Kluyveromyces lactis: one gene and its partners. The main gene of each other region encodes a partner of the protein of the gene in region 3 in a complex. Links are inferred from orthologs where the notes say so. Each region holds a gene or a part of one and is shown on either strand. Other genes may lie near its edges. A codon is read from its position in the direction of its gene.

The links.
Region 1: the proteins of COG5 (region 3) and COG7 are in contact, whole or in part, in a crystal structure (PDB 4U6U), measured with the Kluyveromyces lactis proteins. Residues at the interface, in XP_455247.1 of Kluyveromyces lactis: Ile107 (codon at 1,446), Pro110 (codon at 1,437), Phe111 (codon at 1,434), Arg113 (codon at 1,428), Ala114 (codon at 1,425), Lys116 (codon at 1,419), Leu117 (codon at 1,416), Gln118 (codon at 1,413), Val120 (codon at 1,407), Ser121 (codon at 1,404), Lys123 (codon at 1,398), Ile124 (codon at 1,395), Gln126 (codon at 1,389), Thr127 (codon at 1,386), Thr128 (codon at 1,383), Leu130 (codon at 1,377), Leu131 (codon at 1,374), Arg132 (codon at 1,371), Ser134 (codon at 1,365), Leu135 (codon at 1,362), Val138 (codon at 1,353), His139 (codon at 1,350), Ser142 (codon at 1,341), Asn181 (codon at 1,224), Thr184 (codon at 1,215), Leu185 (codon at 1,212), Gln186 (codon at 1,209), Leu187 (codon at 1,206), Ser190 (codon at 1,197), Cys191 (codon at 1,194); in XP_451390.1 of Kluyveromyces lactis: Phe16 (codon at 1,239), Phe17 (codon at 1,236), Asp18 (codon at 1,233), Asp19 (codon at 1,230), Phe21 (codon at 1,224), Pro23 (codon at 1,218), Gln24 (codon at 1,215), Phe26 (codon at 1,209), Val27 (codon at 1,206), Asp28 (codon at 1,203), Leu30 (codon at 1,197), Leu31 (codon at 1,194), Ser32 (codon at 1,191), Phe34 (codon at 1,185), Gln35 (codon at 1,182), Leu39 (codon at 1,170), Glu40 (codon at 1,167), Lys43 (codon at 1,158), Cys46 (codon at 1,149), Ser47 (codon at 1,146), Leu49 (codon at 1,140), Leu50 (codon at 1,137), Met53 (codon at 1,128), Asp54 (codon at 1,125), Tyr56 (codon at 1,119), Ser57 (codon at 1,116), Ile60 (codon at 1,107), Thr61 (codon at 1,104), Glu63 (codon at 1,098), Leu64 (codon at 1,095).
Region 2: COG5 (region 3) and COG2 share a complex: the UniProt entries of both Saccharomyces cerevisiae proteins name them as parts of the conserved oligomeric Golgi (COG or Sec34/Sec35) complex. The link is inferred for Kluyveromyces lactis from reciprocal best matches to the Saccharomyces cerevisiae genes COG5 and COG2.

The regions. Positions count from the first base shown.
Region 1 is NC_006037.1:777,157-779,817, reverse strand, and holds COG7 (Golgi transport complex subunit COG7), read right to left. Parts: upstream 1,285-2,661; coding exon 532-1,284; downstream 1-531. Other genes in the region: calcium-transporting ATPase PMC1, read left to right, coding at 1-292; RPN14 (Rpn14p), read right to left, coding at 1,587-2,661. UniProt on the Saccharomyces cerevisiae protein: Acts as a component of the peripheral membrane COG complex that is involved in intra-Golgi protein trafficking.
Region 2 is NC_006038.1:974,764-977,599, reverse strand, and holds COG2 (Golgi transport complex subunit COG2), read right to left. Parts: upstream 1,349-2,836; coding exon 635-1,348; downstream 1-634. Other genes in the region: FG-nucleoporin NUP57, read right to left, coding at 1-343; chromatin-binding protein CTF4, read left to right, coding at 1,942-2,836. UniProt on the Saccharomyces cerevisiae protein: Acts as a component of the peripheral membrane COG complex that is involved in intra-Golgi protein trafficking.
Region 3 is NC_006042.1:348,196-351,184, reverse strand, and holds COG5 (Golgi transport complex subunit COG5), read right to left. Parts: upstream 1,765-2,989; coding exon 592-1,764; downstream 1-591. Other genes in the region: KLLA0_F03707g (uncharacterized protein), read left to right, coding at 1-546; HPM1 (protein-histidine N-methyltransferase), read right to left, coding at 1,942-2,989. UniProt on the Saccharomyces cerevisiae protein: Acts as a component of the peripheral membrane COG complex that is involved in intra-Golgi protein trafficking.

The DNA of each region.
Region 1 (2,661 bases), on a different chromosome or scaffold from region 3:
AGCATCACTTTTGGTTGAATATGCCAATGACTCTAGCTTAGTGGAATCTACGGCTTTTCAGCGGGCCAAATCTGATATGATCAGCCATAAGGTGCATCCACCTACTTCGGAGCCCTCTAAATACAATCCTATCACAGCAATCAACAGATGGAGAAGCTCAAGTGGTGATGAAAATGAATCAGAAGAAGAACATTCATTCATCGCCTCAGTGACTATGGTACCCACTTTAGTTGGTGGTGCTGTTGGTGGTTTTTCTCATATTACGGGACCTAATGAAAATAAGAAACAATAATTCTGCTGAGACCTGAATTATTGCGTAAAGATACGTTTCAAAGGGCTATAATATAATGGCATAACGCTGAATCAGTTTTCGGCTAAGTATTACATCTATTACATACTATATGTGTATCCTTTAAAGACATCGTATTTTCATTCTGAAGATGAGTATTGCTTTGCTTTTGATGTAATGAATTATTCAATCGTTCAACGATCACAATTATATAGAACAACTTTCGCGGTCACATATAAAAATCATAACTCATCTAGTGTATCCTTACTATTTAGATAATTATCCTTCTCCTTCTGAATAGCTTGTGCAAATTCTGTGTATGGGATATAGAACTTTTGAAGTCCCTTCAAAACAGTTTTCAACTCGATAAATGCGTCTATCTTCTTCAACAAATCGGTTGCATCGTTCTGAGGTTTCTTTAATGTAATGATAATGGTCTCCTGTAACGTCAATAATGCAAGTTTAAAGTCATCTAACGAAATATGCTGTAGTTTTTCTTGATCATCTTGGATTGAAATATCCATTATGGTCTTTAATAGATCAAATGATCTCTTAACAGTTACCAGATGCTCTTTAGCTGCTGTAAGCTTTGATAAGGTTTCAGTTACCTCATTACTGTCTTCATATTTAGAATTCAGCTCTTCTAATTGTTTATCAATAGCTTTAACGTCTGTCTCTAATAAGTTCACACTATTCGCTAGAGTATCCAAATAATACTCTAGTTTTGTTGTTCCTTGCTGTTCCTCATTTGCTGCGTATATAATAAGTTCAGCAGGCTTCTGAAGCACCTGAATAGTGGACTCAAGTTCTTTTGTAATATGCCCACTGTAATAGTCCATTTTTGAAAGTAGACTAGAGCAATTGGTCTTCAATTCTTCTAATTGGCTTGTCTGGAAAGATGATAACAATATGTCGACGAATGCTTGAGGTACAAAATCATCATCGAAAAACATGTCTAGCAAAGGGTCATTAGCACCAGATATCCTTCTACTCATCGTGTAGGAAATTATAGTGCTATATCGTCCTTCAAAGGTGATTTGGTGGCTTACTTGGGTGTTTCATGATCATCATATTTAGAGGTAGAAGGTTAACTTCTTCATTTTGATGTTAAGATTTCAAGATGATTTTTGGTGCCTTCAGATGCACAGTAAGAAAGGTTTAAAAGAGAAGGATACAATATCAAAGCAGATATTACTATACACATTGATGAGAGCAACGTATGGATAATTTATTGGACTATATATGGGTATAATTCTATTTACAATTCTATTGCTTCTCTTTTAGACTGGACGACAAATCAGTATTTCAATAGCATACCATTTTTTCCGACGCACCAAACATTTTGATGTGATTCATCAACACAGAAATCAGTCACTTCATCATAAGGACGAATTAGATGTGTAAGCTTATTGAAATTGAATTTCCCGTCCAAAACAGGTACATTGAAAGCAAATTGGACCCCACTAGAAACGTTCAACGTGTTATGTGCCAAGAATAATCTTGAGATAGAATCATTATCATTTACCTGGAGCGTCTCCACCGGTTTGGAAACGTTACGAGTATCCCATGATACTATCGTACCATCCGAATAGCCAGCAAATAGGTAATGGTCATCACCTGCAATGTGCTGGCTCGTTAGAGTGACACATGCAGATTTACTTGCCGGTAAAATATCCAATATCTTCTTTCTGTTATAGATATCATGAAACGTGATGATACCAGAGTCGTGTCCAGCAAATACAGCTTTCCCCTCAGTATTGTATTCGTTGCTATGGTCCAATGCATTGTACGATGTGGTCGCTGGATTTCCCTGGTAATTGGCCAATGAAATACAATTTATGCCATCGTTTGAATTGAGCGTAAAGACACATGCTGAAGTTGAGCATTCCCATAGTTTTAATGATCCATCCGAACTTGCAGAGACGAAGTTTCTACCTCTATCGACCATGGCAAAATCGTTGACTGACCGAGTATGACCTATGAAAGTTCTGAGCTCAGTACCGGTTGAAGCATCCCAAATCTTCAAGCGCATATCGATACTACTGCTTAAGAATCCATGGCCGTTAGGGAAAAATTGGGTCTTGGTGATGTGACTAGCGTGCGCTTCCGGTAACTTTATCACTTCTTGTAATGGACCGCTATAATTGGTACCGGTGTTCTTCCGTAGCACATATATGCCACCATTCGTATCACCACAAACCAAACGTATCTCGGGGTCAAACACGTTCGTGATATCTATACTTGTTAAATCAACAGCTCCAATATCAGAAGGCAGTTGGAACCGTTTTTTCGGACTTTGAAACGAAGCTAAATGTCCTGCTGTCGCATCAGGTCCTGTCAATTCATATAAATGTGGCCTTACCCTTTGAAAG
Region 2 (2,836 bases), on a different chromosome or scaffold from region 3:
TGCCGAACAACCCAGTATTGGTATTATTCTGCTGATTGGATTGGCCGAACAACCCGCCTGTTCCTCCCGCGGCAGAGTTCGTGTTGCCAAACAAACCCCCAGTAGAAGGTTTCTGCTGTTGCTGTGTACTTCCGAACAGACCTCCTCCAGTGTTTGATGTATTACCTATCGAGTTGTTATTCTGTCCGAACAAGCTACCAGCACCACCAGGCTGCTGCTGTGGCTGTTGTTGTTGTTGTTGACCGCCAAACTGGAACCCTGTGTTTCCAGCAGCAGGTTTGTTACCAAATAAACCGCCGCCATTGTTCATTGAACTATTTCCCGAATTCACTGCACCAAACATGGCTAATTGATGACAGAAAATTGAACCTTATCGATATTCACAGTGTTCTGTTAGTACGCTGGCCCTGCTATATTGTCAGTTCGTTCTTATAGATTTAATGTTAGTTGTGATGTTTGTTGATGCTTTTGTTGTGAAGAACTGAAAAATTCAAGATCGTTCATTATGATGAGATGAGGCTCAAAGTCAGAGATGTTATACACATTTACGTAAGGATACTCATAGCGTAGACTCGCTTCCACCTAGGGGGTGGAATCTCACTTTATTTGAATTGGGTTCGCATTTATCATATATTTAAGTTTTTATGGTTTGAGTTTGCTGGTTCTGCTTCTCGAGAACGGGTTTAATTAAAGGCTTTGCGGTCTCGAGAATACTTTTAAAGTCGTTTCTCATTCGAGTAATTAGGGTGGAATCATTGTCTTCCAAATGTCTAAATCTGTAGTCACAACGTATTAGTATAGTAGAGAGCTGCTTTGCCACTGTGAAGGAAAGCTCGTCGTCGATATTCAGCTGCACCATAGACTGTAAGGATGATACAAGTTGCTGGCATATCTTTAGCGATTCTGATAGCTTTGTGATATCGTCCAGTTTACCAAATAGGTTATCAAGCGATTTTAGGTAGGATAATGCTGTTACTGTTTTTTCTCTAGTTTCAGCCACTGAGGAATCACAAAGTTGGAGTAATTGCTTGTTGAACTGTTGTAGATCATTCAAGACTTGTTTTAACTTATTCAACACCTCGTTATTGTCACTAGTATTAAACCTGTCACATATTTCCATGTACTCGGGATAATTGTCATTGATTTCATCCAGTATAGTTTGTTCCATTGATTGCTTCAAGGCAGATACTTCATATGAGAGTTCGTCTAACGATACGTATTGGAAGTTATTCTCAAGTAATAGCTTATCTATATCTAAGCAGCCATTCTTCCGTACAAAATTGGAAACTAACTCTCTGCTTAGTTCTTTAGTTACTGGTAGATCCAAATCATCATTTAGGTCGGTCATCGCTGGGTGAGAGTAGTTTCACACAGTACTTTCCCTCTCTTTTCGCTCTTGTTCCGTTTTTCTGGTAATGATCGTTCGAATATAAGGATCGATTCGTACCTTTAAATATCTTGAACGCTGAATAGAATTGATAGTTAGAAAAATACATGTATATAACAAGGGCAAAGACCGATACATGTGTTTGAATGGGTAGTTTTCGGAACACACTTACTAAACTGATGGTGCAATACAGATGAATAAGGGTGATATGATTACTGCGCATCACGTGACTAATTTTCCTTAAGATAAGTAAATCTATAATCAAGAATGTTTAGATACTTTTGGTCCAATACCTCATCCTTACCTTGTGGCAATTGCATGCACTGCACTGTCACTACTATAACAGTGTCAACTAATACTTGATGGTGCTAGTTCTGTGTTTCATTTCTGTCTTCTTAGCTAACGTGTATTTTTAACAGAAAAAACGCGTCTTGGTGATTTAACAAGTAGAAGATGAGACACAACTTGCTTGAAATCTATAAGATGCACTGAAAAAAGCTCAGTTCTCAGTATATTAGTGAATAGTTTCCTTCAGACATACCCAGAAACATCCAATGGCAATTAAACTAACTGAAAATAGGGTATTTGTTGCTGGTGGGAACACCCAGGCACGGTTGAGTAGTGACAGTTCTCGACTTTTCACTTTAAATAAGAACGCATTGGTGAAAGTTCTTAATTTAACTGATCTTGAGAAGGAACCTGATATCATTGATATTTGTGAAGAACCAAGCGCATTTGTTTTGAGTCAAAATTCAGCTGATGGTTTATATGTTGTTTCCCGCAATGGCGACCTATACTGGTACAATGTACTGGAAAACAAGAACAAGTTATGCTTTAGATCCTCGTTACCATTGCGTGATTTGGCCTTAGTTCATGATGATAAAGTATGTGTTGTAGGTGGGGATGATTTAGAAATGACATTGGTTGCATTAGAAGAGGGAAATTCAAACGTTAAATTAACTTTGGACGAACAACTGGTTAGTTTATCATACAACAAACAAAATAACATTCTAGCAGTATCACTCAGTAACGGTAACGTTGTATTCTACTCTTTAAGTTCTACTACACCCAATAGAATCCACACATTGCATGATCAGCTACCTAAGATATTCTTCAATGATGATCTACCAGCGGACACTGAGAATAATACTGAAAACGCCGATTCAGTCGCTATAGATGGACTTGATCCTATGCTATGCGAAGATAACAGAACATGCACTAGAGTTGCATGGACCAATAAAGGAGACCAATATGCAATTCCAGCAAAAGATAGTGTCATTAAGTTATTTAAATTATCAGATCATGATTTGGTGACCTCGTTCAAGCCAAGTGTGCACGTTAACAACTGGGACGCACTTACAATAGACCAAATTCATTCAAACACAATCGCTGCAGTCGGTAATTCCAACCAAAATTCTCATCTATTTATTTGGAATTTAAGTACTGGTA
Region 3 (2,989 bases):
TTTGGAACCATTACCGATTCAACAACCCCCGCGAATGATGTTGGCGAAAGTGTACAGACAGATGAAAACAGAGGTAGAAAGGCAACGGCCCTAATAAAGGTCAGCCTTCGTGAACCGAGTCCAGACTCAGCTCCAATAGGTAGAGCAAGAACGTATTACTGTGCAGAATATTCAGAGCAGGACAGACATAACTTTTCTGCAGCCGCAGTGTCTGCAGATGTAATATTAAAATATGCTGAGCTGGGACCGTATCCCGGATGGCTTCAGTTCAGAGGAAAAGTAATAGATGTAGATGAGCATAATCGTAAAGTCCACACAGAGCAGGTTCGTATCAGGCATTTACGGAGAAAAAGGCCAGGTAAAAGGCAGAGAATGGCAAGATTACACGGTAAAGAGAGAGAAGATCTGAGGAAGCAAAGAGATTCAGAGATAAAGAAGCTACTAAAGAAGAAGTTCCATAAGCGTGGGGGAAAGAAAAACAAAAAGAAGGCTACGAACCCCCTTGCAGATGCAGGTGCTATAAGTAAGGCGAAGGCTAAACCATAAAGGACCAGTCTTGTTACTCTATATATACAAATATAAGCCTGATTTTTATTTCCTGTTTGTATCTAATATACTAACGGCTTTCAAGATATACTGCAGTTCGCCTTGTAGTTCATTACTAGGGTCATTTTCACCGAAGCATTTACTAATGGCTTCATATATTAGATTGGAATTGCTTTGCAGAGATTTCCCGACAGGTCCACCGCGATTGTAGGACATTTCGAAATCTCTTTTGAAACTATTAGTGACTTTTGACCAAAATTGATCGATCAACGAGGAAAATTTCCTTTGAGATAGGTAATTGCGAAGAGTGTTCGTATTTCCTTCAATCTCACATTCTTCCATTAAGTTCTGTAAAGTGAGTATCGAGTTTCTATTTTCCATGGCATCATCTAATGACAGGTTGAAGTTTCTAATGGATGTGATGGTCTTAGATAGCACTTGAGCCGTCGTTTGAATTTTTGAACTGAGTACTTTGTCAATTGTATCAAAAAGATCTACTGGAGATAAAGTATACAATGCTTTGATTAAAGTCACAATTCTCTTAGGGTTGTTTTCCATCTTGAGATTGTTTAGACAATCCCTTGTCAAATTGGTGGAAAGATATCGCAATAATTCCTGTCGATTTGGAGAAACCACATTGTTCTCGCATGATTTTATCAGCTGCAAAGTTGCCAGGTTGGGATTTTGTTCAATATTAATCTTCAATTGTGAATGTAAGGCAGCTATTTTTAACCCGCATGCTAGTTGCTCATCATCAGTAGAGTCTGTCTCTAATGGCATCATTTGCAACTGAGATATCATGTGCACATATATTAAGGAACTTCTCAGTAATGTTGTAGTTTGATGAATTTTACTAGAAACTGTCTGCAGTTTAAGTGCCCTTTCAAATGGCTCTAAGATGTCTTGTTGTAATCTGTTGTACGACATAGACAAATATTCCGTGTTTGATTTGAGAGTATCTCCTACAAAGCTTTTTTCCTTCTTTCTCTTCTCAATTTGTTCTAGCACATGGCTTGGGTTGGTCTTGATAGCACCTTCAATTCTTCTGTCTAATTCTTGGAGATCATACGAGCATCTCTTCACACACGTCTTCAGGTCCAAGACATCCGTATCTGTGCCATTATTTGTAACTTTTAATAGATCGTTTGCAAAGCGCAATGGCTGAAAATCAGCCTCGAGAAAATCCTCAAAGCCTTGAAGTGGATCGTTCTGAGCCATTCTGGGGTTCTAAGTACAGTAGTTATCTCCTTATAGTACAGCTGATGCTCATTCGCTTAATGCAAGCTATATTTAAAGATTGAATTACACGATATTATATGAATCTGACAATGTCGACAAAGTGATTTTGATCACGTGATTGATGATCAAGCCTTAAAAAGAGTCATACGTGGCGATTCACTCTATTAGTACAATTGATCTTTTCAATCCAGCATTTACCTTAAATTTATTTAAACATAATGGAAGGTTATCGGTTGCTATCCTTTTGGCGATATAGTTTTCAAAATCCACTATGCTGCCCCCAACGCCGAAATATATGTCTTTTGCTGCAAGCAGGCATTTCACCGGGTATGAGTTCTTTTTGTTATCCACGATTAGCTCAATTAAGGTTTCTGATATAACCGGGAGCGTATCAGGCTGATATATAGTTTCTGCGGTTAATATTAAGGTGTTTGATAACGGGGTAGCCTTGTGTTCAATTAAAACATCCATGAATTTCCTTCCCCAAGAACCTGAAATGAACGAAAACGATACATTTCTAAATTCTAAATCAGACTTGAAAGCTTCAAGTAATTTTTCTGTCAGAAGTAATTCATCAGAGGCGATTGGGATGTTCGAATCTTCAGAAGCTTGTAGCTCTATCCATTGTTCATTACTGATCACAGTTTTCGCCCAGGATACGATCAAATTTGGAATGGATACCAATCTAATCACACTTTCATTATAGTCACATAATGTGAAATTAATCCCGGTATTGATGTTGGATCTTAGATATTCCATAAAAAGAAATTCCGATGGAAGCGACGTCCCACATCCTAGCTCTATTATATTTTGACACTGGGAAATTTGTGCTGGATTTTTAACAAATGAGTCTACTAGATCTATTGAACATTCCCATGATTTCAAACCACCTTCGTACACATTTCTCCTCAAATCTTCATTGGTTTCACCCATCAAAATCTCCAATTCAACATTATTTGTGCCTGAATCCACTTCTGACATCAATTGATGTTTAACGTCAAATAGTTCACGTCTGTAAAGAACAGAGTTTGTTGTTGGAGTTTGCACTTCTTCAAAAGATAGACGGACATTCGCGAGTGAACGTAGTAGATCATCCAGATCAATATATTTGGGTTGATTCACTGATTCTCCTAGTAACACTTCGGAATCCAATGGATTGATTCGAGGGACAGAAGTAGATGGCTTATCATCTGTATTTTGATTG